3 linked regions of the Drosophila melanogaster genome follow. The gene in region 1 interacts genetically with each later gene. Each region holds a gene or a part of one and is shown in the gene's direction. Other genes may lie near its edges. The genes, in order: cac, Galphaq and sei.

Region 1 (10,156 bases):
TTACGAAAATGCAAAAATTGATCTTAAAATTAATTTCTTAGTATCCGCTTAAAAATGATATGGATCTTTAGCATTGGTAATTATCTGAGCGAAACTGTTTTTCTTTTAGCCATGTGATGATTTTTGGCCAAGTTATAAATTATGGCATTTTTGCCAAATGTCGTTTTTCTGACTTCCCTTAACATAATATATCGATTTTTGGCCAAAACACTTAACAAATTGTAATTATACCTGTTAAGTCCTTAGAGCCAATAATACCTGTTTGCGGTTAAGATTTAGGATTAAGAATCTGCATTTTGTTTTAGCCAACCAATGGACTTTATTTATGTTACCTAATTGGCTTATTTTATAACGGTTCGTATTAGTCAATAATACAGGTAATGTTTGCGTGTTTAATCCTAGAAGCTGCCTTAAAAGTAAGGCTATTTTGAGATGATCATCCCTTATTTTGGCACATTTTATAGGAGAAGTTACCTCTAAATGGTTTTAAATGACCAGCCTGCCTGCTGAGGGTCACTACCTGATTTTCGCGACACGAGGATTAGCGGATTGTGGTAAGGATGAGCCATCTACCTGACCATCTGGATACTAATATTAAAAAAACATATAAAGGCATGCCGCAATCGTGGATAATGTATCATAAGGCCGCGAGATCTCGTCGAGAATGCAGTTACTGTGCTACTTCGTCATCCTTTTCGTTGGAATCGCACCGTGGTCATCCTTGGCCAACGATGATGGATGCAACGAAGTGGTCTGCGGATCGGTGGTATCCAAGTGCCTCATCACCCAGAGCTGCCAGTGCAAGTTAAATGACTGCCACTGCTGCAAGGACTGTCTAAATTGCCTTGGCGAACTGTACATCGAGTGCTGTGGCTGCCTCGACATGTGTCCCAAGCACAAGGATGTCCTGCCCTCGCTGACGCCGCGCTCGGAGATTGGAGACATTGAAGGAGTGCCCGAGCTGTTCGACACCCTAACCGCCGAGGATGACGAGGGATGGTCCACCATAAGGTTCTCCATGCGAGCCGGCTTCAAGCAGCGCGTTCAGGGCGGCGCGAGTGGTGATGCCGGAAACGGAAATGGAAATGGAAATGCCGGGTCTGCAGGTGTCACCCTATGCACCGTGATCTATGTGAACTCGTGCATTCGGGCAAACAAGTGCCGGCAGCAGTGCGAGAGCATGGGAGCCAGTAGCTATCGATGGTTCCACGACGGATGCTGCGAGTGCGTCGGCGAGAATTGCCTCAATTATGGAATCAACGAGAGTCGCTGCCGCGGTTGTCCGGAGGATCAGGACCAACTGCTTACCGCCGATACCGTTCCGGCGGAGGCTGAACAGGATCTGGAGCGATTCTTTGGCAACGAGGAGATCGAGGACGAGTGGGGCTATGGCGAGGAGGATGAATTTTCCTAATAGCACAGATAATTTCAAATAAATGTGGTTCTTCAAATTGGAGCTTGGACCTCATCATAGCAAACGATCTCTTTGTAAATACCCATGTAAAATACCCATGTAAAAATAGCAAGGCATTTGCTAATTTAAGTTTTTATAAAAAAAAGACAACAATAAACTTGGAAATTATAAAAATATTCCTTTTAGTTCTAACAGTGGATCCAGTAAATGTTTCGTAGAATCCATATTTGTGGGATATAATTAATTTGTAAAGTTTTTTGAAATTTGAACTTGCACGGAATTGAGAATTTAAAGGATCAATTTCCCCTCTCTCATTTTAATTAACAGGGGTTACTTTCTTGGTCTGGCAACTCTGTTGGTGGATAAAATGCACACAGTGTTCCCGGACTGTTAAAGCTTCGATCGAAATTGCGGCATTGTTTACGTTTGTTTTGAGTGAAAAGCATTTTCATCCCGGGCATTCCCAGACACTAGCGATGAGGCTGCACCTGGCGGCGATCCTGATCCTCTGCATCGAGCACGTAACCAAGGCAGTCGCCCAGGGAATGCCGATCAGTCCGTGCCCCAAGGTGTTTCAGTACCGCTTCGACGGCAGCGAATGGTTCGGCCTGATGGCCGTGCGCAGTCCGGATGGCCACCAGCCGCTCCACATACGAGTTACGCTCTCGATGCGTGGCAAGCCCACCACGGTAAGTGGTATATTGTCATCCAGATGTTACCTAATCCCCTTAGTACACACAGAACTATCTGGGCGAAATCGAGCTACTCACACGCGGCAAGTTTACCCACAATGCACCGGTGCTGTATAAGATCCGCTTTCCCAAACATCACTTCCCGCCCAAACTGCTCCTCATGTCAGCCAACAATCATGTGATCTGCTTCGGATCCGGCGGTGCGTATCCACGGAACTTGGGTAGCAAACGATTTAATCCATGACTTGTTTGCCCGCACCACAGAGCACAGCATCTTCATGACCCAAATCCAGTTGGAGCACATTAGGAAGTTGTCCTTTATACCGGATAAGAAGAGCTCCCTGCTGCTAGATCCCGAGGAGGAGGAGGTGAGAAAAACCGACGACAAGCCGCCCAGTACGCCGCACATCCAGTTCAAGAAGTATGCATCCGGATTTTGGTCGGTTAAAACACACACACGATCGTGACATTCATTCGTTACTTAATGTCCGCTTTTGTAGAAAACCCTTTGCCCAGGCGCCCAAGGAGATTTGCGGACGCATCGACAGGGATCTGGACTTTCACTTGTCCCAAAGAACGGAATCACTTCATGTCGCAATCGGTGAACCAAAGAGCTCCGATGGCATCACATCGCCAGTTTTTGTCGATGACGATGAAGACGATGTCCTGGAGCATCAGTTTGTGGACGAATCAGAAGCAGAAGCGATAGAAAGCGATAGCGCCGATAGCCTGCCATCGATCACCAGGGGATCGTGGCCTTGGCTAGCGGCCATCTATGTGAACAACCTGACCTCCCTGGACTTTCAGTGCGGCGGTTCGCTTGTCTCGGCACGCGTTGTAATCAGCTCGGCGCACTGCTTCAAGTTGTTCAACAAGCGCTACACATCCAACGAGGTGCTCGTCTTTCTGGGCCGCCACAATCTGAAGAACTGGAACGAGGAGGGATCTCTGGCGGCCCCCGTCGATGGCATTTACATTCATCCCGACTTTAACAGTCAGCTGAGCAGCTACGATGCGGATATCGCAGTGATTATACTCAAGGACGAAGTTCGGTGGGTGCCAATATGCCTAAAGCTTACATATTCAAGATTTAGATTCATATCTAAACCGCGATGTGAAATCGAATATGAAGATCATTTATTATATTGACAGTATACCATTATTTTCAACGCAGATTTAACACCTTTATTCGACCCGCTTGCCTGTGGTCTGGTTCCAGCAAAACGGAGTACATTGTGGGCGAGCGGGGCATCGTCATCGGCTGGAGCTTTGACAGAACGAACAGGACGCGGGATCAGAAGCTGTCGTCGGAGCTACCGGGCAAGAAGTCCACCGATGCCAGTGCACCCAAGGTAGTAAAGGCTCCCATTGTCGGCAATGCCGAATGCTTTCGAGCCAATGCCCACTTTCGCAGCCTATCCTCAAACCGAACGTTTTGCGCCGGCATCCAGGCGGAGGAACGAGATACGCATCAGAGCGGGGCGAGCATTTACACCGGTATATCGGGGGCCGGACTTTTCATCCGCCGGAACAATCGCTGGATGCTGCGTGGCACAGTATCAGCGGCCCTGCCCGCCGTAGAGACACCGGATGCGGAATCTAGCCATAAGCTTTGCTGTAAGAATCAGTACATTATATATGCCGACGTGGCCAAGTTTCTGGACTGGATCACGGCCTTTGTAATTTGAATCACATCCGAAATGTGTATGGGAACGCATTTCTAAGTGAGCGCTGTGATAATAGCCCCTTGGGCATGGCGATGGGCAAAAGTTACTCGGAGTAATTAGCGGTTATCGGTTTTTTCTTTTTTTTTTTTTGCTAGTTTCATTACGAAAACTTCTGATTATGGCATTTCAGTTTTATTTTTATCTAAGACAGTAGGGCAATTCAAATAATAAATTATGGCACGGGAAAGCCAAAAAGGAATTTTCCCATAGAATCGCTGCGCTTTTAGATCTCCACCATAATATTAACATTAAAAATCTCGAAATTTGCAATGTTTAAATTCCTCTGACCACATATAGAAAACGTGTATGTTGAAAGAATCACAGGTATGTTTGATATCGAAATTAATTGTAATACAGTAACGTTTACCATGCCTTTGTTATCAGTGTGTTGTTGGCGCTCGTGAACAAAGGAAGCTGCTAATATGCCGGAGTGGGCGGCCTGGCCCGTCTGAGCGGCGTTCACCCATGGACACCTGGACACCCTAATTACCAGCGGCAGACACTGTACTGCGCAAATGCTGACTACTATCAAGCACGTCATCGCACGTCATCAGCCGCAATCGTCGTCATCGCCATCTGGGCCGTTATCTATCTTGCTGGGTTGTTGGGGCATCGACAGCAGTCGTAGCCATCGACTATCAGTTCCGTCCGGACCGTGGCAGCTGGTGCATCACACCTGGGGCTCTGGGCCCGTCGTCTACGGACATTCGCAATCGTTGAAGATCCCCAAACAAGTGCAACGCATTGTATTGTGAACGTGCCCGATAGTTGGTAGTGAATATATTACAGAAATGGCAATATTTGGAGTACATTTCGCGTATTGCAAAGTTCGATTCATCGATTCCCAGAATGCTGGGCGGAGTGGGAGCTCGTCGCCGAAGGGGCTCATCTCCTATGGCGCGATTGACCATTAGCAACATCAACGGTCTGGATGACAATATTGCCATCATCGGCGATGGCGTCATCCGGCGGAGCACGCACTACGGCTCGCAAGGGTCTAACAAAAGGCGCCGGGCTCCGGAAAGTTTTGCTCTTGTCCAGACGCGACCGAATCTAGGCGACCTAATGTGAGTACCACTACCAATTTAAATATAAATTATTTAAACTTAACATTATTTTAAAAGATCAATTGATATTTAGAAAAGTATTGAAAATTGGTAAAAATTCATTATTATTAAAGATAGTATGCAAAGGTAATTGACGAGGGTTATTGAAATGTACAGAGATAAAATTAAGTCTGAAATAGAGTAAAATATGTTGTTTGTTTTATATATTAATTAATTAGGTCAAGTATGAGAGCGCCTTTGATCATTTGTAATTCGGTTAAAGCCGGGTTTTCAAATAACCGATATCTTGATGCAAAAGTTTTTACTACAAGGGGTTGAAAGTATTCTTAAAGCTTAAAGCTTTATCAACAATTGTGGCAGTAGTAAATCAATTACTTAAATCAATTAAAAAAAAAACTCTTAGAATGGGTAAGTAGCTTAAACTTCGTCGCTTCGCTTTTTTTTTAAACTTTAGCAGTATGATTTAAGCCCGGATTTTAAAACCGCGATTTCTCGAAAGTTCGATAGTTTTGTTCCCAAGGGGTGAAGAGCAAGCGGAGCTTAAAGCTCAATCGACGACTGTAACGGTCCTAGGAGCGGGTTTCCTTGGAGGACACGCATGCGCTCTCCTCCGCACTGGCTGGCCAGTGTGTCCACCTCCGATTGTCCGATTGAGCTTGAACTGAAGCTTGGACCAGAGCTTTCGGGCGGATGCAGAGCGCAGGGCTGGTAGATTTTTTTCCCCATATTTTTGCCCTTTGTGCGTGTGTTTGGACCCTGGCGATGTGGTAGTATGTGATACAAAGTCGCCGAGTTGAAGTCTTGCGTTTTGTTGAGTTTTTCGTCCAACTGGTGAGACAAAGTCGGTGGTGACAGCTCCCGTAGAAGCGGTTTTTGTTTTTTATTTTTAACTCGGGACCCAGTCAATTTAACAGCAAATGTGCGACAACTAAAATGTGGCTGAATACAGAAGCCTGGCGTTAAAGAAATCAAGTGAAAATCACTCGCAATGCGGGGTTAAAAGTGCTGTGAAAATTCCACATTTCGAATGTTGTGTGCGCTGGCATCCGAATTCGGGTCGAGTGGTGAAAATAACACTACAAACATCCAAACCAAGAACAAGAAATATAGTCGGAAAAGCGTGAAAATCGTGAAAAATCGTGAAAAACCCAATGGCAAAACGTCGAATTGGCGACAATGGCGGCGAGGACAGCAAAAATAGCAAGAAAAGATATCGGGAAACCAAGTGAAAAGCATTATTCGGGCTTACTGAAGCCAATAAACGACCTCTGATTGTGCTCCTCCAGGCAACCAGATCTAATTTTTATTTTTAGCCACATTCATATACATATATATATGCGTTCGTTTCAAATCCCAATTACCGAAGCTATCCTTAAAAACCAGTTGTAAAAGTTAAAGTTAACAAGCCCCACGAACGCACCACACACACACCAACACACCCGCACGAATATACATATCCATATACATATACATATACATATACATATATATGTATAGCCATATATATATACATAGTTGTTGGGATTGGGTCAGCGGGTCGGTAGCACAACGGGCGGAATGTTGCGTCGGTGGTGCTATATATTGCGGTGGATGGAAGTGGAAGTGGATGTGGCAAGAGGCAAGTGGAAAAGCAAAGGCGAAAGGAAAAGCTAAAGCCAAAGCTAAAGCTGAAGGAGAAGGAAAAGGAGATATGGAGTTTTCGGGTGTTTTTTAGCCTATCGGTATATCGTTTATTTTTGTGACGTGTACACGCACTTTCGAGGTGAATGAATTGCGGCGATGTAGCAGGAAGCACCCCCCAAATTAATATTTAAATTAACTATATTCTCAGTCCACACAAATATTTACTAGTCGTAAATTCCCCAACCCACACACACACATACAAATCTACACATGTATATGTTTTCCATACCGGAAACGAATTCTAATGATGGTTCTCCTCTCTTCACGGAAGTGAAAAATTTGTTTGTCTCTGTTCTTTTAACAATGCTCATATGAATACTCGTATGGGGAATTGAATGCGAGCATATGAACAAATATTGTGGTAGTCGTGTGCTCTGTAACTAAACTTATAACGACATATCAAATTTCAGTTAGTTGGTTCTTTAAGCCCAATTAAAAGTGTAACAGTTTCCAGAAAAAAAGAAATAACAAAAAGCGTTAGTTTAGAGGGGGCAACGATGGCAAGTGTGTCATTGTTGCTGTTTATTTTTGGCAATTACAGGTTCGTTGGTCTCACTGTGGCCCGATTGTAGTTAGACACACAGATATATATAGCTTCTGCCCATTCCAAAAACCCAAAATCGTTCCGAAAGACATCGTCAACATAAAAAAAAAAAAAATTTCAGACAACTGTGCCTGGTGACGTCACTAGGGAAAATAGAGCTGGAACTATACAATTGCAATAAATAACAAGAATTGCTTTTAAAGAAAAGACATTGCTTTGCGCAATTGAAAATGAACTATTCAAAATAGGGCAATAGTTAATTTAAATGCAAATGCAACCAGATTTACTGGGCCCTTAAAAGTAGGCAAGCGATTTGTGGTTGCGATGTTATCGTTATCGGTGTGACCCAGTGATTGTTGAAACCAAAGAGAAAGAGTGAGAGAGAGAGGGGGAGAGAGCTTCTGCCGGTACGTGTGTATATGTGTGTGTGTGTGGATGGAATGGAGAGAGTTGAAATTTGCAAATGCCAATTCTTGTTATCAGCCCCGTAAATCAAAACATTTGATTGATCTGCAAATAACTGTAAAGATAAAACCTTGTTCGTAGTTTCACTGCCTTATGGGCTAGTTTGTCAATTCAAGAATACTCCGTAAAAGGTAAACAAGTTTTCAGAATTCTTCCAGTCGGAATTCAGAATCTCACCGTTTCACAACTCACCACAGCCCGTGTATGTGTGTGTGCGAGTGTATTGAGCTTTTTTTTTTTTTGGTGTTCCATACACATGCATTTGTATGTGTGCCAGTCTCTCAGCCTCTGACTTTTTCATCCCCTAACGTTTTTCATTCATGGCGTGTTCCAGTAATGGAATTTTATACCAATAACCGAAATAACCACATCTATCTGCAGACCGTGTCCATAGCCATTGCCAGTCCGAAATGTTGTGGATCAGCTTCTCTACAGATACACCACATATTGGATACAAAAATAACACCAGCCATGCACTTGGCATGCACCTGAGTAACCACATTCCCATACCCATGCCCATGCCCATTCCCATCCAATCCATATGTATGTATATGTTCGTGCGCGAGTGTATGAGCATGTTTTCAATAGGTCATGAACTGAATTGACCCGAGCGCATCATAATTATCGGTTGGCAAAATAAGTAGCACAACATCGAAACACTCAAAGCTAACGCAAAGCCAAGCGAATGAAACAGAGATTCCGGAATCTGACCAGTTTCACTTCAAATCGTAATCAAAATCGAATCGAATCGAGTGTGTGTGTGTGTGTGTGATTTGCATCTAATCGAATTTCGTATTTCCAAATTCAGTTCAAGTGCAATAATAACACGGTGGTAAAGCGTGGAATAGCTAATAAATAATAATAAAAGACAACGATTCAAAAAGCGATAAATACAGCAAAGGAATAATAATAATAAAGTGTACAAAAAACAGCCGAGCCGAAATCAACGATCAAGGGATTCAGGACGAGGACGCGAGTTAAGGCAGTTAAGGAATCGCAGCCGGAATCCTTTAGCCTCCAGCCTCCATCCTAAACAACCGCCACATCCTCCAGTAATCACCAGCAACAGCCATCGGACTCGCGAGCTAAATGTCCAGTTGCCGCTATCGTTCCATACGGACGGCGTGTCACTCCCGACAAATGCGTATTGTGGTTGACCTTGTTTAATATAATTATGGCCGAGCGGTCGTTACAAAAGTATCAGAAATTGGATACAGTGACGGTACGTGCCACCTTTATCTAATTAAAAAATATTATGAATTCAGAATTCCAACAGCTTGATGTCCTGAATCGGGACTGACTTTCCCTTCCCTTGAATTCAAGCTATAAAAATGGATAATAATATTTTTTGCAATTATTTTCCAAACTTAATAGTAAACCACCTACGTAATATATTCCTGGGATGTTTGTTAGTCAAAGTATAAAGTCTCTTTTTAATTTAATTTTATATTTAAACCACAATAAAACAGGGGCATGTAATGTAAGCAAAATATGAAATCTAGACAACAAAACCACCAGCCACATGGCGTATTAGCAATACTTCTATGCATATTTTAGAGAGCTCAACCAAATTAGTCAAACTTTAGTTAATTTATAACAAGAATTGATATTATTTAAGTTAAAAACCCATTTTTAAATTGAAATTTATTATTCCAGTAATGATATAGGGACAAAGACAGGCCAAACAATTATTCCTTCATAAAAATCAGGTTTAAAACCCATTGGTTTATGTATGTTAGGCGCGAGTAACTGTATAGGAATTGTTCAAATTGATTCGCATAGGAAGTACATATGTAAATATTTTACACTCTATCCTTTTCCATACAGGTTGGAAGCGGCTCAGGAAGTAGTGCAAGCAGAGCATCAACAGGACTCCTTAGGCGGGGGGCACTTGGGTCGAAAGGGAGCCCATCGCTTAGCTGATAGAATGGGTGGCCCGAAAAAAGAGGAAAACCCACCAGGTGGTGGTCCGACGTCATTGTTTATTCTAACCGAGGATAACCCAATTAGAAAGTACACACGATTCATCATAGAATGGCCGCCCTTTGAATACGCTGTGTTATTGACAATCATAGCCAACTGTGTTGTGTTGGCACTAGAGGAGCACTTGCCAGGGGGCGACAAGACAGTATTGGCTCAAAAATTGGTAAGATCAAATTTGATATTGGTATGCTGAACGTGAACGGATTGATTGATATACGTTTTCGGTCATTGAATTAGGAAAAAACGGAGGCCTATTTTTTATGCATTTTCTGTGTAGAAGCGTCGCTCAAGATCCTCGCCTTAGGGCTTGTTCTGCATAAACACTCCTATCTCAGGAATATTTGGAACATCATGGATTTTTTCGTTGTAGTTACGGGGTAAATAATGAACCAAACTATTTTCGAAACATATGCACCAATTTTATTTTCAACTAATATCGTATTAAAAAAAAAACTACACGCCGTGCAAGCATTATCTGTTTTTATTCAAACCAAACCAATATCACCTATGTTTAAGTCTTGATCATAATGAATCCCAAGAAAAAGTTAACTTAATATTCTCAGAAAAGCTTAGTTACTCTT
Region 2 (10,156 bases), on another chromosome or scaffold:
GGTTGGCTTACCCTTTGCAGATGATGTAATTATATAACTTCAAGCTACTTTCAATGTTAATGGGATTGTCTGTCCTCATTTCCATAAAATTCCATCAATTTAAGTAAGCTAAACTTGTTAGATTCTATCATTTGCAAGGGTATAACTTCGGAATCCGGAGATACACATTCCTTTGAGCTTTGCACGCGCTAGTTTCCCCCTCCGCGCCAAATGCAGATCTCAGCACTTCCTGTCTATATTGAGTTCAGTTCTTTATTGCCAATTTACAGGAGGAAGGCTGGCTGATGGGTCAGAAGGAGGGCACCAACGAGAAGGGACTCTTCCCCGCCAACTTCACGCGTCCCATCTGAAGCGACAAACTGGGGAACAACTGGGCTAGCAACGAACCATCAGCAACTTCAGATCAACCATAAAAATCTTTACGAACGGAGGTCCAAATCCAAATACAAACTTTTGGCCAAATTTTCTTTGTGAGCGCTGCTTTTGCTTTTGTCCAATTAATAAATTCTTGTTTTGTGAAATGTATTCGGTAACTGGCAATCCATTTATAGCGATTGTTCGTTAGGGCAGTGCTTCCAACCATAAAATTGTTATTGTTAACACAAAGAAGAACGAACACACAGATGAGGAATGAGAGAGAGAATATTTTGAAAATGTTTCAAACATTATTTTTTAGTTCTAAGTTTCAAGAAAACCTAAAGCATAAACCTACGTATACATATATTATTTGTTAATCCTATTATTGTGCTCATAATTAATGCGAACAAAACGTATCTAATTTGTAATTTGTTAATGGCAAACCACAAATGTAAAACATATCACTCGAGAGCTAGAGTAATTGTTAAACAAATCAAAAGTCGGAGGAGATAGCCAGCCTGAACCTTTTGTATTTTGTGAATTTTGCAAATATGTAGTACGAGTTTTTTATAGTCAATTGAATGTATTTTTGGGGCGATGCAAAAAGGCCAGATGTAATTCCTCTGTGGTCCCCGAAGTTTTGGAAATTGTTTCAAGTAACAACATTAACGTTTAGCGATTACGTGTATCTTTAATTTGTACTTTGGTTTTTAATTTTTCGTTTGAGAGACTCGAACTAGCTACAGCTTTATAACGCGAACACAATCCAATAGTCACTAACCGATCGATTCGATGTTTTTATTTTATTTAACTCGATTGTAAATCACACGAAACCCGAAATAATTGTTTAAATTGTGCACACACTGTAAAGTTATTATTTTAATTTTATTTAATTAATTTAAACACTTATTTATCGCATGAACATATTGAACAAATGATAATAATTTACAGAAAGCCAATAAAACATAGATTAAATAATACAAGTCTTTTGATTTGGCGGGCAATGTCTTCTGATTTCGAAGATAGAAAGTGCTTGTAAATTTGACGATTGACCGGCGTTTTACGATATTCGCATTTTTTATGTTCTAAATGGTAATTATACACACATATATTTAGTTATTTAAAATTTACGATCATAGTCATTGGTTCGGGTCACAGCTTAACGAATATGGAAGTGCATGGTAAGTGTATTCCCTGTTGTTAGAGAGTGAAAAGGACACAACATTTTCAGTCTTTCCTAAAGCTATCAGGCATTGCCATCCTGAATTATGAGAATATGGCGCACTGCCATCCTTATTTTTAAGGATGTCTGGCGTTGCCATCCTTATTTGAAGGATGTAAGGCGTTGCCAACCTTATTGCTAAGAATGTGTATTGACACACATGAATAGAAATCCGTATGGCAACACCGACATGTGTTGTGGTGGGGGTGGCAACTAAAAAATACCAAAAGTAATATATTTTCAAATTAAGCTGAACTGCCAGGAAATCCGTTTTTATTTGTTATAAACCACTTCTATTAGTTATTATGCGGCAAATAAAACTCCTTCCTTATGTAATACAATGAAGACTTTGATTTAAGAGCATCTATTCCATCATCGATATCTTGCCACCACTAGTTCAAATGCCGTCCGATTGGTTTGACCATCGATATCGACGAACGATAGGGCCGATAGGTTCGGACAAATAACGCCTCCTGCTATCGAAAGTCGGGTCGTGCGTCAACGTTAGCGAAAAATGCAAAATTAAATATGTTGTGAGTAGCGAGCGATGCCAAATCGAATATGTTGTGAGTTTCGAGCAAGATCCCCGTCAAACGGACTCCCCGCCAGCCAGCGGTCGCCATCCGCAGCCGCCTGGCAGCCACCCGAAAAAGTCCCCCCCTCGACAAAAAAAAAATTTAGCAGCACCGAAAACGTTCCCCGAAATGCCAGTGTAAAGTGTATTTTTTCGCCAAACAGTGCTGGCCATTAAGCAAGGCCCCCCCATAATTGTTAAACAAACGGCGAATCGAATCGCGAAATCTTCGAATCGCATTGCTATCAAAATTTTTTCGTTTCGTTAACGCCCTCGCTTATATTTGTGTGTATTCGTTCGTAAAGCAGTGCGCAGCAAGTCGCACTGCTTGCCCGAGAAAAACACTGCGAATAGGAAAAAAGTTGAGAAATTTAAAAAAGAAATAGTTTGTTTAACTCAATGTGGTTTTCTTTTGCCACTAAACGGTGCATGCCAGCGAGAAGTTAGTTGGGGTCGCGTAACTACATAGTGGATTGTGCATATTTTTGGGCTTAAAACGGGTGGGCTAACCAAAAAATGAAAAAAAAAATGGTAGCTGAGGGTCGTGTGTGTTTACCTTAGCCAGTATGATGATGATTTTCCGGAATGCATATTCCCACCTTACCACCCATAATACCACCCCCCCCCCCCATCGTTCTTCTCCTTATCTCTCTGTCTCTCTTCTTTACTTGCAGTTCCACTGCATACAGAAAAATAAACAAATACAAGAAGCATAAAATATGCAGAAAATTAAATACAAAAGGAGCCACTAAGTGTTTCGTGTGAAATCAATTTGAAGACCGCTCGTCGTCGTCGTTGTCGTCGTACATACTTTTCCGTTTCAATTACACTACAATGAATATTTGTTGAAACTTCGTTGCATTTACAGACTGGTGTTTAAAAACAACAACAACAAGAAGAAACGTTAAAAACCAAGAACAACAACAACAACAGCACTCATACACACCGAAAACTAGAAGCAAAAAGGGAAAATTATATATAGATATATATCTACATATATAAATAGTATCGTATCACACATTTACATTAAAAGGAAGCCGAACAGACGTTATCGTAACTTTTATATTAAAAAGCACCAGTAAAAAATATATAACCAACTACACACGTTCCTTAAAAACAAATGTTTTCCAAACCGCAAACCAACTAAAAACGAAATGCTTTTGAAATTAGTTTAAGCTAACTAAAAAACGTAAGACCAACCAACGCACCGCAAAGCAAATCGCGTGATTAAACTAAAAATATTTAAAACAGACCGAACATCGGCAGGGAACCAAAAACAAAAATTAAAAGAACACGATCAATCCGGAAGAACTTCAATCGGCGTACTAAAACCCGAAATTCAATATTTTTTGTATAACATAGTGGTAGCTAAAACAAATCGAGACGATAACCGGAACATCTTTTTGGAGAATCTCGTCTGAATACCTTTAGTCCCGTGTCTCCGTAATGTTAAGTAAGTAATACTGAATGCTCATTGAATACAAGAATCGTAATTTCGTGGTTAATTTTTGACTCCGACCACTTGTTGGTTGCCACTAAAAACTGGCCGAAATATATTATAATCCAAAAATCGAATTATTCTCCAGGCGAGTTTAATGGATTGTCATCCATCTTATTCAAATCCATTCGAATATATTTATTTTGTGTAAAAGCCATGCTTTCATCATAATGAAAGGGTACTTTTGTATCTAAAATATGAGCTCATAAATTCTCCAGCAAAAATAGGCTGAGGATGCGATAAGGAACTGCATGAGTAACGTGAAGCTATTTCCGGCTTAGAAATGGTTTTTCGGAAATGGGTTGCATTAGAACAGTGATTTTCAGAAGAGCAGTAGTCGTCTAAAGATTAAGAAGTCAAATCAAACGTTATCTCAGAGTGGTTTATCATCAGCATATACAATATGTAAGGCAGATAAGACCAGTTCGCGGTAGGTAAATCTCCCTCTGATTTGGTGGCATGATATATCTGGCAAACTATTGTTAAAAAACGCTTCATTGCGCCAATTGCGTGCCCCTGCCCCTGAATTTTGCTGCCACTGCTAATTCGATTTTGTGGCTTTGCTCAGCGAGCAATGTGTTCCGAGTGCAGCCCACTAATCCTCCCGAATACTATGCGTCTAGCCATCATTATCCAGATCTCCATATTCGCCCACCTGAGCCCGCCAAATTCTCCTGGTCAGACTTTTGTCAAAATTATTGCTAGGTATTCCATCGATATTTGGTAGTGGTCATGCTGAAAGCCTTACCTCGACCCATGTCAATGTGTTCGCCAAACGAAATTGGATTAGCCATCACTCGATATATAAACTAGGGGTTGGAAAAGAGAGGAAATAGCACCAGTGGTTATAGGCTATATTCTATAGGCATGCCCTATGCTGAACCCATGAATGAACCGCGGATTCGGGTGGACTCATATCTTTTAACGATAAAAGTACATTAAGAGTTTTAAAGTTTATGCAATGATATTCCAGTTTTGTGTATAGAGCTGTGTTTTTGCATCATAAGTTTCGGTATGTGACTTTTTTATTTCCGAATTAGAATGATATGCCAATTCTTCTTATCCATAGACTGCTTGGTCCACCCAATAGGAGAACACTCTCGCTAACTTGTGGCCAGCGAAGCCATATATTTTCCAAAATCAGCTTTCTTGCATTGAACTTGGCTGAGGGGCATTGTGGGGAACGCTTCCTCAATCTATTGCCACCTGGTAGAGGGCGATCCCAGGTCTGCGCAGAGAGAGCAGGCCCAGAACTTAGAACCAAAGCCAATGCCATGGTCAGAGGAAGTCCCGGGGTAGTCATGGGTAGCCATGGGCAATCTATATCCGACGTCGTCATCGACGTCGCCAGCTAGTGGGGCAGGCTAGCAAATATGAAATGTTAATTGTCAGCACGGGACACAACGCGGCGAACTCTCGTTGGGCCAACAACTGTGGTGGTCCGTAGCAGCAATAGTTGGATAGATCCTACAGTTCGGTTATGCAAGCACTAAATCAAAGCTTTGTCTCCTTGCAGATGTTCTTGGATCGTTCGATGTGGTCTTTGTTCATTAGTAACCATCACTCTCAGCCTCCGAGTCACCGAAATCTGGTCAAGAACTTAGCGTAGACCCGTAATTAGCAATAGCAATAGCCAAAGAGAGCCTGGATCGTAAGCGCTGGAGGAGGTCTGCAGAGCGAGCAAAGCCGAAGTACAAATGCACCAATCGAAACTACAACAGAATCTATAACTTGGAACGGGTGAATTCAACGCCCGCCATACAACCAATTAGCTAGGTGTCCGAGGGTCCAGAGAAGGGAGTCCAGGAGACCATCCCACCATCCAAACAGCATACATTTTATATACGGAACGGTCTGTCGAGCGTAGTGGCAGCAGCACGCGAAAGCGTCTATAAATCTAGTTAGCATGGAGTGCTGTTTATCGGAGGAGGCCAAGGAACAAAAGCGCATCAATCAGGAAATCGAGAAGCAGTTGCGCCGGGACAAGAGAGATGCGCGCCGCGAGCTTAAACTGCTACTACTGGGTAAGTGGAGCATGGCCCATTTCGATTGCACTTAGCCTGGCTTAATGCAATTGAAGCCGCCTCGCTAATTGCATTGTTTGCCCGCCGCTTATGGCTATATATATTTTCCAATCCTATATCCCCAGGCACTGGCGAGTCCGGGAAGTCCACATTCATCAAACAGATGCGTATTATCCACGGCAGCGGTTACTCGGACGAGGACAAGCGTGGGTACATCAAGCTGGTTTTTCAGAACATATTCATGGCCATGCAGTCAATGATCAAGGCCATGGATATGCTGAAGATTTCCTACGGCCAGGGAGAGCATAGTGTAAGTGAAACATTGATCTAATTGAAGTCACTGAATCTTAAACAACATCTTACGATCCACAGGAACTGGCCGATCTGGTGATGAGCATCGATTATGAGACCGTTACCACGTTCGAGGATCCATACTTGAATGCCATCAAAACGCTTTGGGACGATGCTGGCATCCAGGAGTGCTATGATCGTCGTAGGGAATATCAGCTGACTGATTCAGCCAAATAGTAAGTTAACCGTTGGCATGCAAAGGGAACGGTTTAAATCCGTCCGCAAAATGACCGAAAAACGAACTGAAGAGACTGAAACTACCGAAACGACTATGCAAACTAAATCAATTATCTTGTCTATGTATAGTTATCTGAAGGATCTCGATCGTGTGGCTCAACCTGCATATTTACCCACTGAGCAAGACATTTTAAGAGTTCGTGTGCCCACAACAGGGATAATTGAGTATCCCTTTGATTTAGAAGAAATCAGATTTAGGTACATACCATCTTTCTACCCTTACTTCGTTGCATGTGCATGACCTCTTGTTTGGTTATGGTTAAAATTTATTTTGTACTTTGTAACTACACACTTAAGAATTTCTTTAGCGCATGTCTCTTCAAGCAAACAATTCAGGGACTTAGTTAGGGCCTTCAGCGAAATTGATGGACTGAGACGGGTTGCAAAACTATTTTTGCCACTGCTTTTGGTTCCGTTCATTGTTTTAAAAGTGTATTAATTTATCTAATTTAGCTACTTGAGCGATCTAGCTCGAATTGAACAGGCTGATTACTTGCCAACCGAGCAGGATATTCTGCGTGCTCGAGTGCCGACAACTGGCATTCTTGAGTATCCATTCGATTTGGATGGCATTGTGTTTAGGTATCTATTAAAAATATCAATTGGTAATTACCGGCAAGGCTAGTAATGTAAATGGTCATTGTAAAGCTAGTGAAGACGATTTCTTACAATTTAGTTACTAATAGATTCGTTGCTTGCGCTCTAGAATTAAATGCTTGTATGTTTGGCCTTATATGTAGTTAATTTGTTGGTTAACTTTTCTTACAATAATATATTTTTCTTAATAAACAGAATGGTAGACGTCGGTGGTCAGCGATCCGAGAGAAGAAAGTGGATTCATTGCTTTGAGAATGTGACATCAATTATATTTTTGGTAGCGCTATCGGAGTACGATCAAATCTTGTTTGAATCTGATAATGAGGTATGATTTCAAGTTATGAATATATTTTTTTTAAACAAATAATCACCTGTACGCTTTCACAGAATCGAATGGAGGAATCTAAAGCTTTATTTCGTACTATAATTACATACCCTTGGTTTCAAAATTCGTCAGTTATTCTTTTCCTGAATAAGAAGGACTTGTTGGAAGAGAAAATAATGTATTCGCATTTGGTAGACTATTTTCCTGAATACGATGGTAAGTGTTCCGCATGATAAAGGTGGCCATAATTATGTACGATTTTATGCGGCAATGAACCAGGTCCAAAACAGGATCACGCTGCGGCCAAACAGTTCGTTCTGAAAAAGTACTTGGCCTGCAATCCAGATCCCGAACGTCAATGCTATTCGCATTTCACAACGGCCACAGGTGGATTTTCACCTTATGTACTTAAGATCTATGTAATTGCCTTAAATCGCCAATATCATCCGTAGATTATTTGCTAGTTTTCGTAGAACCACGCTAGACGTAACTTCATATTCGCCTTCTTATCGAAACAGGTCCTCAGCGAGATGCAATAACGGCCCGAGAGTTTATACTGCGAATGTTTGTAGATTTAAATCCAGATTCCGAAAAAATTATCTATTCTCATTTCACGTGTGCTACAGGTAAGTTTGCTGCCAGTTCTGTGTTTGGTCAGAAATTGTGTGTGGATGTGATTTTAGTTTTCAGCCTAAAAAGGACTGGTCAAAAGGTAAACTTTTGTGTGAAAAACATTTACATTTGCATATTTGCTTTTGCCGCTGATCTAGAGTAGAGAGTAGTTGTGTATCGCTAGTCAAATTTGCAAACCTAAACGAATTGATTTCTAATAAAACAACGATCTCTTGGTAAACAGATACCGAAAACATCAAACTTGTGTTCTGCGCTGTCAAAGATACAATTATGCAAAATGCACTTAAGGAATTCAATTTGGGCTAAGGCGGGCAGTGCGGATATCAGGAAAAGTGGCAATGCAAATGAATTATTTATTTATAATGTATATGATTTGTTTTTCAAAGTCCCTCAATAAAAACTAAATATAGTCTGTGAAATATCGTGAATGGAAAATGTGTGCAGTTTACTATCATAGGATTATTTGACAAAATCAAACTAACTACGCCTTCTTTTCTTTTGTCTAGATACGGAAAATATAAGGTTTGTGTTTGCAGCTGTTAAGGACACAATTCTGCAATCGAACCTTAAGGAATATAATTTGGTCTAAACTGGATTTGGATCGAAAAACTATTTTTGTGATTTTTATACAAACACACATACACATTCATATAATTCCTTTTTCGCATATTTACTAAATATAAAAGAAGAATTGAGAAGCGAGCGAATGTGGCCGAAAATTAGGCATAAATTAGACCCGAGAAAGTTTCTTACGTTTGTTACATCAGGAACCGAAAATTGTAGCATAAATAGAATACTAAACTGAGATGCTAAAACCGCATCAGCAGAATGATGAAAAAGATGTATACATTTTAATTTGAGAGAAAAATAACACAAAATCTGATACAGTGTGACAACAAATAATCAGGGCAGAGTTTCTCTTACGAATGTGACGATTCGTAAAACATTTATTTATATTGCAGTACTTCTATTCTTTCTAGCGGCAAAGTTTTCAGAAAACGTTGTGTGAATTTTTTTTTTTTGTTTCGACTAGGAAAACTCTTGAAAGTCAAAAAGACAGTGGCCAGAAATGATTGGTACCCAATCGATAGAGTTTTTGGTTAGATTTGAATAAATCTGATGGTAGTTTTTCCTTCCTACACAAGAAACATGATTTCCTTGAAAAGTTTTTATACAAAATATCGTCCGAATTAGTTGTTGTCACTCTGTAATATTTAAATAAATTTATTACTATAGTAACTTTTGTAATAAAATCCGAAACACAAAATATGAAACGTAAATTTAATCAAAAGCTTGATAAGGAACAACAAACTGAAACAACTTTGTCGTACTGAAGCATAACATAATAAAGCAACATTTTACTAAATAACTACAGAAAAACAAAAACATACTTTTGCGTAAAAATCCCCCGAAATATATATATATTCAAAGAATTATATATGCAAGAAGTTTCTTATTAGAATTTCAGGGCATATAGGCGTGTAAAAATAATAAACCGAAAATGATAAGCTGATAAAATGATAAAATGAATGAAAACGAAATCACAGATAATACTGTATTTTTTATTAAGCTAAACAGTAAACCGTAAATATTGATACTATTGTTTACCGAAATATTTAACTATACATGAAAGCAGATATAATAATTCATAAACGCATATGTAACAATTTAAAAATTGATTAATTTGCATTGCGCGAGCTCCATTCATTGTAAATTACGATTCGTATTAATACCATGAGAATGAAAAGAAAAGAAATGAAACGCATGCAAACCAATACAAAAACGATATAGGAGCTAGATTTGTATGAGAAAAGCCAGAAACATTTACATGGAGCATTCATTAAATACGTGTTTGTAAAAAATGTCGATAACCACCCATGCAACATGCAACATGCAACAGCAGAATCCATACAACTTATTGATATTTAATCAGACATCAGGTTAAATCCAATCAAATGCGATATACCACTGGTCGAGAAACACAACTATCAGAAGGGAAAGTTTTGCTCTCACGTACTTTTGTTGCCATCAAAATTTCAGTCGAAACATTGTTATCAAAAATAGCTTGATTTTCGTACTTTTTACATTAACTTTGTTAGTTGTTTGCTTATTTTATAGATCTTAATGTATGCAACAAGGGACTCGCTTTGGCGGCTAGCCAAAACGGCGATGTCTGGCCAAGTGGGTTCAGTGTTTTGTTTTTGTTTTTATAATTTTAGTTTAATTTAATATACAAGGATAACTAAATGAGACGCACATAAATAGAAAACCCCATCAACAAATTATTTATGTAAAAATCCAAATAAAAACAATTCTACTCTACGCATATGTGGAAACA
Region 3 (10,156 bases), on another chromosome or scaffold:
CGACTGGCTGAAGCTGAAGATGATCCGCTCATCGGTGGACAGACTAATTGAGGCAGCTCTCAACGATCTAACGCCGGATCAGATCGTGCTCTTTGTGCAAAACTTTGGCACGCCGGTCAACTCGATGTCCAAGCTGCTGGCAATGCTGGACACCGCTGTACTGGAGCAGTTTGATCTGGTGAAGAATGCCATTCTGAACAAGGCCTATCTGGCCCAGCTAATCGAGATTCAGCAGGCGCGGGGTGCTAAGAATGGGCACTACACCGTACAGGCCTTGGATCTGCATTCCCACTCGCAGACTGTGCCAGATCTGCCCAAGATCAGTGTGGTTATTCAGGAGGCCGTTGAAATTGATGATTACGATTCTTCAGACTCGGATGATAGACCCACTAACTTCCTGGCCACCAAGGAGGTAGCCCAAACCATTCTCACGCAGCCCGACCAGTTGACTGAGTCGCGAAGTGACTGCCGATCCTTGATTCAAAAACTGTTGGACATGCTAGCAAGCCCGAACAGCAATAGAGCGGATGTGGTTAACGCCATAACAGAGGTGCTAGCCGTGGGTTGCAGTGTCACGATGAGCCGTCACGCCTGCACATTTTTAAGGACTTTCTTCAGCTGCATGCTGCACAGCGACAAGTATCACATACTGGAGAACGCTCTCCAAAAGAACTTAAGTATGTTTAAGCACACATTCGCCGACTCCAGTCTGCTGCAGAAATCCGAACTCTATCATGAGAGCTTGGTGTTCATGCTGAGAAACTCTCGCGAGATTTATGCGCAGCAGTTTAAGGCGAATACCGCCTTGGTGGCACGAAAACGGATCGTCCGGGCGATCGTCCAAAGCTTCGATCAGACCAAGGACAGCAAGACCGTCGCCAAGTCCAAGAGCGACCAGCTCTTCCACAACGGGCTCTTCATCGACTGGCTGTCCGAAATGGATCCCGAGATAGTTTCCACTCAGCTAATGAAGGAGCGCTTTCTGTTCTCAAAGTCCTGCAGCGAGTTTAGGTTCTATCTGTTGTCCCTGATCAACCACCAAACCAACTGGGACACGATCGAAAGGATTGCCGAGTACCTGTTCAAGAATTTCCATGAAGACTACGACTACGCCACCGTCCTCAACTACTTCGAGGCACTGACCACCAATCCGAAGCTGTGGAAGGGACGCGACAAGTACATGTCGAAGAACGTACGGCCGGATGCCTTCTTCATGCTGAGGACTTCTGAACTGGAGCCGTTCTCCCACTTCATCCTTCACGAAGGGCTTTCCGAGGTCAAGCTGGACAGCAAAAACTATGATTTCAAGCTCTGCTCGCGAATGAACCTACTGTTTAAGCTCACAGAGAAGCGACGAGACCTCATGGTCAAGGTAATGGAGCACGTGGAGAAAAGTTCGGTGTCCGACTACTTGAAACTGCAGGTCCTCCAGCAGATGTACATCATGTATCCGCGCATCAAGTTTCTGAAACCGGGCAAAACCGGCGAGCAGGCGTACAAATTGCAGAATCTGAAGGGCTGCCAGGCGGACAAGGTGTCCAACAATCTGATCACCTGCTTGGGCAGTCTGGTGGGCAAAAAGGACTTTGAAACCCTGTCCACGGACACCGAGCTGCTCCTTCGCAAGCTGGCTGCCTCCCACCCGCTTCTCTTCCTTCGCCAGCTGGGCGTGCTGTCGTCCATTATGCAAGGTCGGGCCCAGCTCAGCATGAAGGCCCTGCGCGAGGAGCACCACTTCCACCGATTTGTACAGATCCTGAGGACGCTGGAGCTGCTGCAACCAACCATCTTTGAGGAGGCGTACAAGAACGAGATCCAAAACACGCTGTCGTGCTACTTCAACTTCTTCAAGCACCACAGCAACGTAAAAGAGGCCTGCCAAATGCTGAACAAGTTTGTGCAGATGCTCCAAGCCTACATCAACTACAATCCCTCAAGTGCTCTGCTCTTCATCGAACAGTACGTGGGCATCCTGAAGGAACTTGCAGCCAAGTACACCTCACTAGGCAAACTGCAGGTTTTGGTCCAGGCCGTTGCCCTGCTGCAGCACAAGTCGCACTCGGCGACGGAATTGGACGACGAGGAAGTTAAGTACGAGTACGATCTGGATGAGCATTTCGATGTAAAGCCATCGGCCAGCAAGCCCGTGGTAACAGAGGATCCCATCGAAGTGAATCCGCAAACACCCATCGATCCAAGCAGCAGTAGGGGTCCCTTATCGGTTCTAACCTTGGGCTCGTACAGCCGGTCGAACTACACGGACATATCGCCGCACTTCCTCGATCTGGTCAAGATCATAAAGCAGTCCAACACGGAGGACGTGGTCTTGGGTCCCATGCAGGAGCTGGAGTGCCTCACTTCCAAGAGATTTGTGTTCATCAACGAGCTGTTCGAACGACTGCTCAACCTTATATTCTCGCCGAGTGCCCAGATCCGGTCCATCGCCTTCATCATACTGATCAGGCATCTGAAGCACAATCCCGGCAATTCGGACATCAACCTGTGCACCCTTAACGCCTACATTCAGTGCCTGCGGGACGAGAACTCCTCGGTGGCAGCGACGGCCATTGACAATCTGCCGGAGATGTCGGTGCTGCTGCAGGAACACGCAATCGACATCCTAACGGTGGCCTTCTCGCTGGGCTTGAAGTCGTGCCTGAACACTGGCCACCAGATTAGAAAGGTTCTCCAGACTCTAGTGATCCAGCATGGCTATTAAGCGTTCGGTCTATAAGTTAGAACCGTCATCATATGTACAATGTAATCTTTGCTCCTTATAATAAAGTGTATTCTGCGGTACGAGATTTTTACCACAGCGGAAACGCGACTTGGTCAAGTTAAATATTTCATTCTTTATTTCTACTGAAAATACAAATTATGTAGAAAATTCTCATACAAATTGGCGATCTCAACAGGATACGTGTTTCCATCGCTGTTTCATGCATGCCTTGTTTGTTAAATGCAATGCACAGTGCTCGTACAGTTTATTGGCGGTCGGTGGCCCGGAGTTTCTCCTCGACGGCTTCCCGGGAGGCTTCGGAAAGATCAGTGGCTTGTATATACTTTTGGACGCCCACGAGCGACTTCTTGAGAGCATCGAAGGAGCTGGAGTACAACATCTTCTTCTTGACCTGTGGGTGTGTGATATCGAAATGAGTTCTGCGCCATTACTTGGCAACTGGCTATTCACATACCTTGGCAGTATCGGGACACCACGACATAAGGAACAGCTTTTGCTTCTTTGAACTCTCAGAGGTGCCTTGACACTGGTGCATGTACTCGAAATCGAACAGTCCGTACCTGTGCAAGCGAATAGATGTTAAATTAGGTTAGTTTCGATGGGTCTGGGTGTCTCTAACCGGCGGAACTTACCGGCACTCTCCAGGTCCGCATTTCTGGATATCTTCTAGAAACTGGTCGTACTCGGCGTTGCGATCTGCCACAGTCTCCACATCAATCTGCTTTTCATCGCGAATGTAAAAGATGACATAGCGATGCTTTTTGTCCTTCTTTATTTCCTCGTATGTAGTCTTGCAGACATCAGACACAGTTACACCAGAAGCCTTTAGAGAGAGAGAAGGTAGAGATGCAAATCAGAGAATGTATTTTGAATGTTCAATGCGCGCCAAACTGTCAACCAAGTGTGTGTGCATGTATGTGATACAGGGTGCTCTCTTTGCGTTTCCCCAAGTATTCCCTTAAAACAAATGTTCATGAAGTACCAAGTAGTTGAATTGTAAAAAAAAATAAGTGAAGTTCAATGTTTTATGCCCACATAAGACACGAGGCACCCTGTACCTCACTGATGTACATATGTGCGTATGTAACTGACTGGCAGACATAACTGCCCACCTTCAGCTGACAGTATATCCGTCCCTTTTCGACTTTGCAATTTTATTTCTTTGATTGCCGGCAATAACAAACATAAAGGTAAATAATTTATGCTACTTTATTTGCATTGCCACCGCAGAACTTTTACCGGTTAAGGCGTGCGCACACTTGGCACGCCGATTTATCTGGGAGTGGTGGGCGTGGCACCATTTACAGTTAGATTTTCCTTTCTTTTTTTCCCGGCGCTCGGAAAGTTCAAGGGTAAGTTCACAAGTGCCGGCAAGTTTAAGGGTGAGAACAAGCCGACAAGAGGGAGAAAGAAAACTAAAAGGGAGGTGGCTGTTTCCCCACGATTTCGTTGCGCTCACAAAACGGTGGAAAATGCCCGATTTTCCATAATATTCGGAAAATGTCGAGAAAATCAAAATCGTCCCACATGCAAACAGTCGTCTGCTGCACACACACAGCTAAACATCATGTGTATGTATGTATGAACATCCGCAAGGCGGCAAGGAAACGATCACACCTTAAATATGTATGCCTGCAGATACATATATGGATATATATTGATACATATTTCTGTATGGTAATATGGACGTACATATGTACACACATTTTGCGTCTGCGAGAAAATAAGCATTAAGCATTGCCCCGCAGATACATACATACGCACATATTTATAGCCATCGAAATATAAAAAAAGCGGTATACCCACACACGCTCAAGTGTGTAAAAATATATATATGTATAGACATGAAAATCCAATGTGTGTGCATTTCTCTTTCCAACATTTCAATTTTTAATCGCTCCATTTTTCCAGCTGCCACTTTGGAGCATTCTTTCGCGATTGCCTTTCGCGAATTTGCCAGTTATGAGTGTGAGTGGCGGCTGAGAAGTATGAAACACTCCAATAAATGAGTAATATCCGCTGCTACCAATGACTAATTTGGTATATATGTATACGCACACATTCATGACCATGTATATGCCCGAATATGGCCAACGAACATATAGGCAAAAAAAAGTGGAAATATATGTATGATTGATATATACACACTTATCTAAATATGTATGTATATACAGATTTCAAAGGAGAGATGCTTATATGATTCATCGAATCGAAGACATTATTTGCACTCCACCTCGCTTCCAAAAGTGCACAATGACCGGCCGCTTTTACCACCGAGTCTGAATGCGAGTCCCAAGTGTACGTACCATTTTTCCTGTAGTTTTTCGCTTTCACAATTCTCAAATTGCTGCTTCGCCGAGTATATATTTTACAAATACTGTTTAACCTTCCGCCTTCTTTCACGAACAACCGGACGAATCAATTTGGTCGGTTATTTCGCACAGGTTAGGGTTGCCAGGCGCCGGCAAAGTATCAACATGCGTCGTGACGCGTCGCGACGTTTGTGAAGCGTTTGGAACGGTGAAATGGCACACTTTCGATCTTTCAAAATGTCAAATATTTTAGGGTGCTTTAAAATACATAGTATAGTTTGAGTTAATTTATTTATTTATATTAACAAATTGCACTATACTTTCGTGTAATAAAGCTGAAGATTTACAGATTTGAATCTTAACACATTCGCTGTTTTGGAACATAGAATATATATACATAGTTTACACTTATAGCTACAATTTATTACTTCAATATCAATTCATCCCAAAGCTAATGATATTCTTTGTTGTATAGTATTGATCTTAGTATTTATTAATTAGTACAACGATTGCGATGAAATTTGTATTTAACAGTTAATATAATATGTTAAAAGCGATATTATTAACGATAAATATATTTTGACTAACAAGCAGACCGAACATTAAGAAATTTAGCACAAGCCACCTTCGTCCTCGGCGTCGTTGGTTTCCTGCGAGAGAGAAAGAGAGAAAATACGAAATTCTTGTTAGCTATTTAGTTTACTGCTTCGCACTGTCCCAAGTCTTCTATCGACAACAAAGGCAGATTCAATCGCCTATCGATAACATCATAATAAGAGCCAAATTTACAAAACAAAAATTGCAAATTCCATTTTTAGAATAAAAATACTCACAGCAGCAGTGTCGCCAGCCTTCTTCTCCATCTGTATACCCTGAGGTAGTGGAATGTTTTTAGATAGAATAGCGTACTCAACATCCATATGTCGTATGAATGGGGATGCCAGCATCCTAGCAGCTAACTCGGGATCCTCGTCATCGAAGGCTTGCAGAAGGGTCTGCAGTGTGGACACTTCCTCTGGCTCGCAGCAGTTTCCCCACTCCCTGAAGGTCTTTTCGGCTTCCACGGAATCCCCGCGAGCCAGTTGGACCATCACCAAGGCCACAACTAGGCGTCCAATTTGTCCGTAAGATTCCGTTTGCTGATTCAAGCTGATCTCCTTTTTGAGCGCATTCGTGGCTTCGTCGTACCTGGAGTGATTGGATGATATAAGCTAAGGATACCCAAAGTGATTCGTTGCAATCATAGGTACATACCTCCTTAGTTTGACCAGTATCCTGGAAACTTTTGATGCATACTCGGCTGCTTGACGGACGGAATCCTCGATCTGTCGGGTAAGTATAAAATTAATAGTTTAAGAATGGAATTGACTAGAGCAGTGTCAAATAGGACGAACCATTATGACTTCTAGAGCATGCTGATAGAAGCGCAAAGCCATGTCAGGATGCTTGGATTCAGTTAACTTGGCGGCTTTATCCAAGGCGGATGCGGCTGCCTCTGGGGAACCGTGCTGTTGATACAAACTCGCCGATTTGTTGGCGTATTCCTCAACTTCGTGTAGCTTATCGGCATCCTTTGACAGCAAAATGATCTAGAAGATGTGCACATTTAGAGGGTTTAAATTTCCTATTAACTTCACTTATATTAACTTCAATTTAAGCTCACCTGTTCGTATGCCTTTGCAGCATGGAACCAAGACTTGTTGTTTTTATAGGCGTCGATTGCCTTCAGAAAACACTCCTTGCTCTTATCATAACTTTTAGCTATTCGATATGCAGTGGCTGCAATTAAAAATGTAAAAGAAAGATACATAATTGTACACCAATATGTGTGTATCTTGCAAGTTATGGATACTTTGGGATAATCGTTAGCTGTAATTCATAGTATTTACATATCTCATTGATGTCACAATGTTTTTATAGATAGATACTCTGGGTGATATTAGTCACTCCTACTTTGTGAAACTCACCAGCTTTGGAATACTCATCCGCAGCACTATCGTAATCAGGAACCCATTTCAGCATGGACAACTTCAAGCTGCAAATAAAGATGGGTGTTATTTGGAAACCCCTTTATAAGGATATTTTTGTTGGGGATACCTCTTCTCGGCCTGCTTCACCAGGTCCTCCGCTTCGGCAATCTTTTTGGCAGCGATTCCCGACATTTTCAACCACTTTTGTTTAGCAGGAAAAATCAATTGTTTACGTTTGAAAATAGTGTGACCGAATGCGAGAAGGAAAATAACAATGGTTCGAAAATCACGGTGGTTTCGAATCTTTGAAAACCGAAAGCAGTACGCATGTCTGAAAATTTCAGAAAAGCAAAGCCTGATTACACCGGGAAAAAAAAGTTGGTCTTATAAAGCAGTTGACTTCGAAATGAAAATGCCATGTATTTACATACATCTATTCATTTTTTTATTTTATCTATGATATTTAAAAAGTAGAGTATGTGTAACGAACAAGATCGAATTGAAGTGTTTTTAATTGATTGAAAATGATTTTCCACTCCTGATTTCTCCGCGTGCATGTCATACCTGTTCTGTTTTGATTTGCAAGTAAATAAGAAAGTGCATTAGGTAAGAAATCGCAGTTTTCGCCAATTTCAATCTGGAGTAAGTGGAAATTTTGGATTTATTATTAAGTTGTTTTTAAGCGAAGATTTATTTGAATTTGCTTACGAATCCGGATATTCTGAGCTTTGCGAATGTTTGATTATAATTTGCAACACTTTTTCGTTTCTATACTTTGCAGACTTAAAAATGTCCCACAAATCTTGCGTGGAACTGAGCGAAATTCGAAAATTGGATAAAATAGTGCAGCAATGCGAGCTGTACATGTCCAACAACAATATTAACGATAATGCGGCCAAGAAACCGCCTGTGAAGGAATTCAAGCGCAATTGCCCTGCAAAATCGAACAAATTTGTGGAGAGGGAACTCTTCTCGCTCATGTGCAACCTGAACAAGATTGAAAAGAAGCAGGTTTTCGTTTCAGATATCCTGATTAACGCCAGCATGTTCGACGACAAGAAGGAGAGTTTGGCGCGGTTTCCGAAAAACGTGTCCGACCACAACACTCTGGTGTACCACAAATTCCTGAGGACTCGACCCACTAACGATGATGAAGCCCTAAAGCTGAAGGCTGGTGGAAAATCGAAGGAGAGGCCAGGCACGAAAATCACGGCAGATTGCTTCTTTTCGCCTCTTCTATTCAAAATCAACAACAAAAGGGAGTGCCTGAAAAAAGTGAAGCCCATGAAGGGGGAAAATGCTGTCGAAACCAATGGTATCCCACTCGAATCCAAGCCAAGTCAGCACAAAAAGCAGAAAAGTTTCAAGAAATGCATTAAGTGCGACAAGAAGAAGCTGTACATTAAGAACTATCAGGTGTCCGCCCGGCGGGAATGCGATCTCCTCTGCTCGTATGATCCCTTGCGTAAAAATAACGCCGACCTCTTCCAGACCCACAAAGGCACTTCTTACGAGTGCATGTTCAAGAACCTCAAATACAACCAGGCCGAAAAGCCGACGGACAACGTGATGGGGAACTCCTACGACGACATGCTGGACAAGGAGGCTCTGCTCGGATCAAAAAGCGAGCCGAAGGGGCAGGATCCCAATGACATGGTATGCAGACATGGTATCTGAATCAGCCGATTAAAGTACTATATTTATTGAATTCAAATCATCAGATTACTTCCCTGGGCGGAAACATACTGCTGGACCAGAAGTTGCAGAATAACTACTATCACAAGTGGACCCTCCTGCACTACTCGCCCTTTAAGGCTGTGTGGGATTGGATAATATTGATCCTGGTGATGTACACGGCCATCTTCACGCCGTACGTGGCTGCCTTTTTGCTTGGGGAACAGGATTACCAGCGGCGGAACAGCAAATACATCAACTCCGATCCAATTGTCATCATCGATTTGATTGGTGAGCACTAATGCTGCATTTTGTGGGTTAAGCTATCAATGGAACTTTTCAGTGGACGTTACCTTCATCGTGGACATTATAATAAACTTTCGAACGACCTTTGTCAACTCGCAGGACGAAGTGGTCAGTGGCCAGCGTGGTGGAGTACTCAAATTTGGAAATTAAACAAACCACACTCATTCTAGGTATCCCATCCCGGACGGATAGCAGTTCACTACTTGAGCGGCTGGTTCCTAATCGATCTCGTGGCCGCCGTTCCGTTCGATTTGCTCCTGGTGGGCAGTGACACCGACGAGGTGAGAGCCATCTATGCACTCCTACATGGAATTGATTAATGCCTGCACTCCGCATTTCAGACAACTACCTTAATAGGACTTTTAAAAACAGCTCGACTCTTAAGACTCGTTCGCGTGGCCCGAAAAATAGATCGTTATTCGGAATACGGAGCCGCAGTTCTTATTTTGTTGATGGCGACCTTTATTTTGATTGCCCATTGGTTGGCATGCATATGGTAAACTAGCCTGATAATAGTCGATTTGTTTTTGGAATTGCTTAACTCTATTTAAGGTATGCGATTGGAAATGCGGAAAAGTCTATCGCTTCCAAGAACATCGGTTGGCTCAATTCGTTGGCCTACGATATTCAAGAACCCTATTTCGACAACCGCACTGGTGGTCCCTCTATAAAGGTAGAGTTTCCCTCCGTCCATCTACTCGTAATCCGCATGACTCTAAACCGATCCTCTTGCAGTCGCGCTATATCACGGCTTTGTATTTCACGTTCACCTCGCTCACTTCCGTGGGATTTGGCAATGTGGCACCGAATACTGATGCTGAAAAGGCATTCACTATTTGCGTGATGCTCGTTGGATGTAGGCAACATCGATATATTTCTTTAAATACGTGTAATGAGACCTTTAATTTCCCCCCTCAAGCTCTTATGTATGCAAGTATTTTTGGAAACGTATCTGCCATTATTCAAAGGCTGTACTCGGGAACCGCCAGATATCACACGCAAATGCTGCGCGTTAGGGAGTTCATTCGCTTTCACCAGGTATTGAGCACGCACATCCTATAAGTATAGAACTGAGCACCTATTCCTATTCTGCAGATACCGAACCCGCTCAGGCAGAGACTGGAGGAGTACTTTCAGCACGCCTGGACCTGTAA

The links.
Region 2: of cac (region 1) and Galphaq, changing one enhances a phenotype caused by changing the other (phenotypic enhancement), as found in Drosophila melanogaster (one study listed by BioGRID).
Region 3: of cac (region 1) and sei, changing one suppresses a phenotype caused by changing the other (phenotypic suppression), as found in Drosophila melanogaster (one study listed by BioGRID).

The regions. Positions count from the first base shown.
Region 1 is NC_004354.4:11,979,421-11,989,576, reverse strand, and holds the start of cac (cacophony), read left to right. Parts: upstream 1-4,489; 5' UTR 4,490-4,682; coding exon 4,683-4,900; intron 4,901-5,661; exon of another isoform or gene 5,662-5,741; intron 5,742-8,400; exon of another isoform or gene 8,401-8,814; intron 8,815-9,419; coding exon 9,420-9,738; intron 9,739-9,812; coding exon 9,813-9,952; intron 9,953-10,156. Other genes in the region: tsg (twisted gastrulation), read left to right, coding at 665-1,414; gd (gastrulation-defective), read left to right, coding at 1,891-2,103, 2,147-2,306, 2,371-2,527, 2,607-3,158, 3,281-3,794. UniProt on the Drosophila melanogaster protein: Voltage-sensitive calcium channels (VSCC) mediate the entry of calcium ions into excitable cells and are also involved in a variety of calcium-dependent processes, including muscle contraction, neurotransmitter release, gene expression, cell motility, cell division and cell death.
Region 2 is NT_033778.4:12,610,740-12,620,895, forward strand, and holds Galphaq (G protein alpha subunit q), read left to right. Parts: upstream 1-2,000; 5' UTR 2,001-2,107; coding exon of another isoform or gene 2,108-2,112; exon of another isoform or gene 2,113-2,140; coding exon of another isoform or gene 2,141-2,145; intron 2,146-2,827; coding exon of another isoform or gene 2,828-2,918; exon of another isoform or gene 2,919-3,606; intron 3,607-5,047; exon of another isoform or gene 5,048-5,090; intron 5,091-5,167; 5' UTR 5,168-5,557; coding exon 5,558-5,675; intron 5,676-5,800; coding exon 5,801-5,985; intron 5,986-6,047; coding exon 6,048-6,202; intron 6,203-6,332; coding exon 6,333-6,461; intron 6,462-6,716; coding exon 6,717-6,845; intron 6,846-7,055; coding exon 7,056-7,185; intron 7,186-7,247; coding exon 7,248-7,401; intron 7,402-7,464; coding exon of another isoform or gene 7,465-7,572; intron 7,573-7,703; coding exon 7,704-7,811; intron 7,812-8,041; coding exon 8,042-8,124; 3' UTR 8,125-8,244; downstream 8,245-10,156. Other genes in the region: Amph (amphiphysin), read left to right, coding at 270-350; CG45086 (uncharacterized protein), read left to right, coding at 2,108-2,112, 2,828-2,918.
Region 3 is NT_033778.4:24,041,620-24,051,775, forward strand, and holds the start of sei (seizure), read left to right. Parts: upstream 1-5,791; 5' UTR 5,792-5,885; coding exon of another isoform or gene 5,886-6,240; 5' UTR 6,241-6,306; coding exon of another isoform or gene 6,307-6,377; 5' UTR 6,378-6,384; intron 6,385-6,446; coding exon of another isoform or gene 6,447-6,641; intron 6,642-6,715; coding exon of another isoform or gene 6,716-6,831; intron 6,832-7,019; coding exon of another isoform or gene 7,020-7,087; intron 7,088-7,149; coding exon of another isoform or gene 7,150-7,214; exon of another isoform or gene 7,215-7,284; intron 7,285-7,583; exon of another isoform or gene 7,584-7,664; intron 7,665-7,803; 5' UTR 7,804-7,811; coding exon 7,812-8,678; intron 8,679-8,743; coding exon 8,744-8,987; intron 8,988-9,039; coding exon 9,040-9,110; intron 9,111-9,172; coding exon 9,173-9,283; intron 9,284-9,343; coding exon 9,344-9,498; intron 9,499-9,554; coding exon 9,555-9,675; intron 9,676-9,737; coding exon 9,738-9,858; intron 9,859-9,921; coding exon 9,922-10,040; intron 10,041-10,097; coding exon 10,098-10,152; intron 10,153-10,156. Other genes in the region: IntS1 (integrator 1), read left to right, coding at 1-2,719; tsr (twinstar), read right to left, coding at 2,985-3,131, 3,195-3,300, 3,373-3,563, 5,047-5,049; gammaSnap1 (gamma soluble NSF attachment protein 1), read right to left, coding at 5,664-5,702, 5,886-6,240, 6,307-6,377, 6,447-6,641, 6,716-6,831, 7,020-7,087, 7,150-7,214.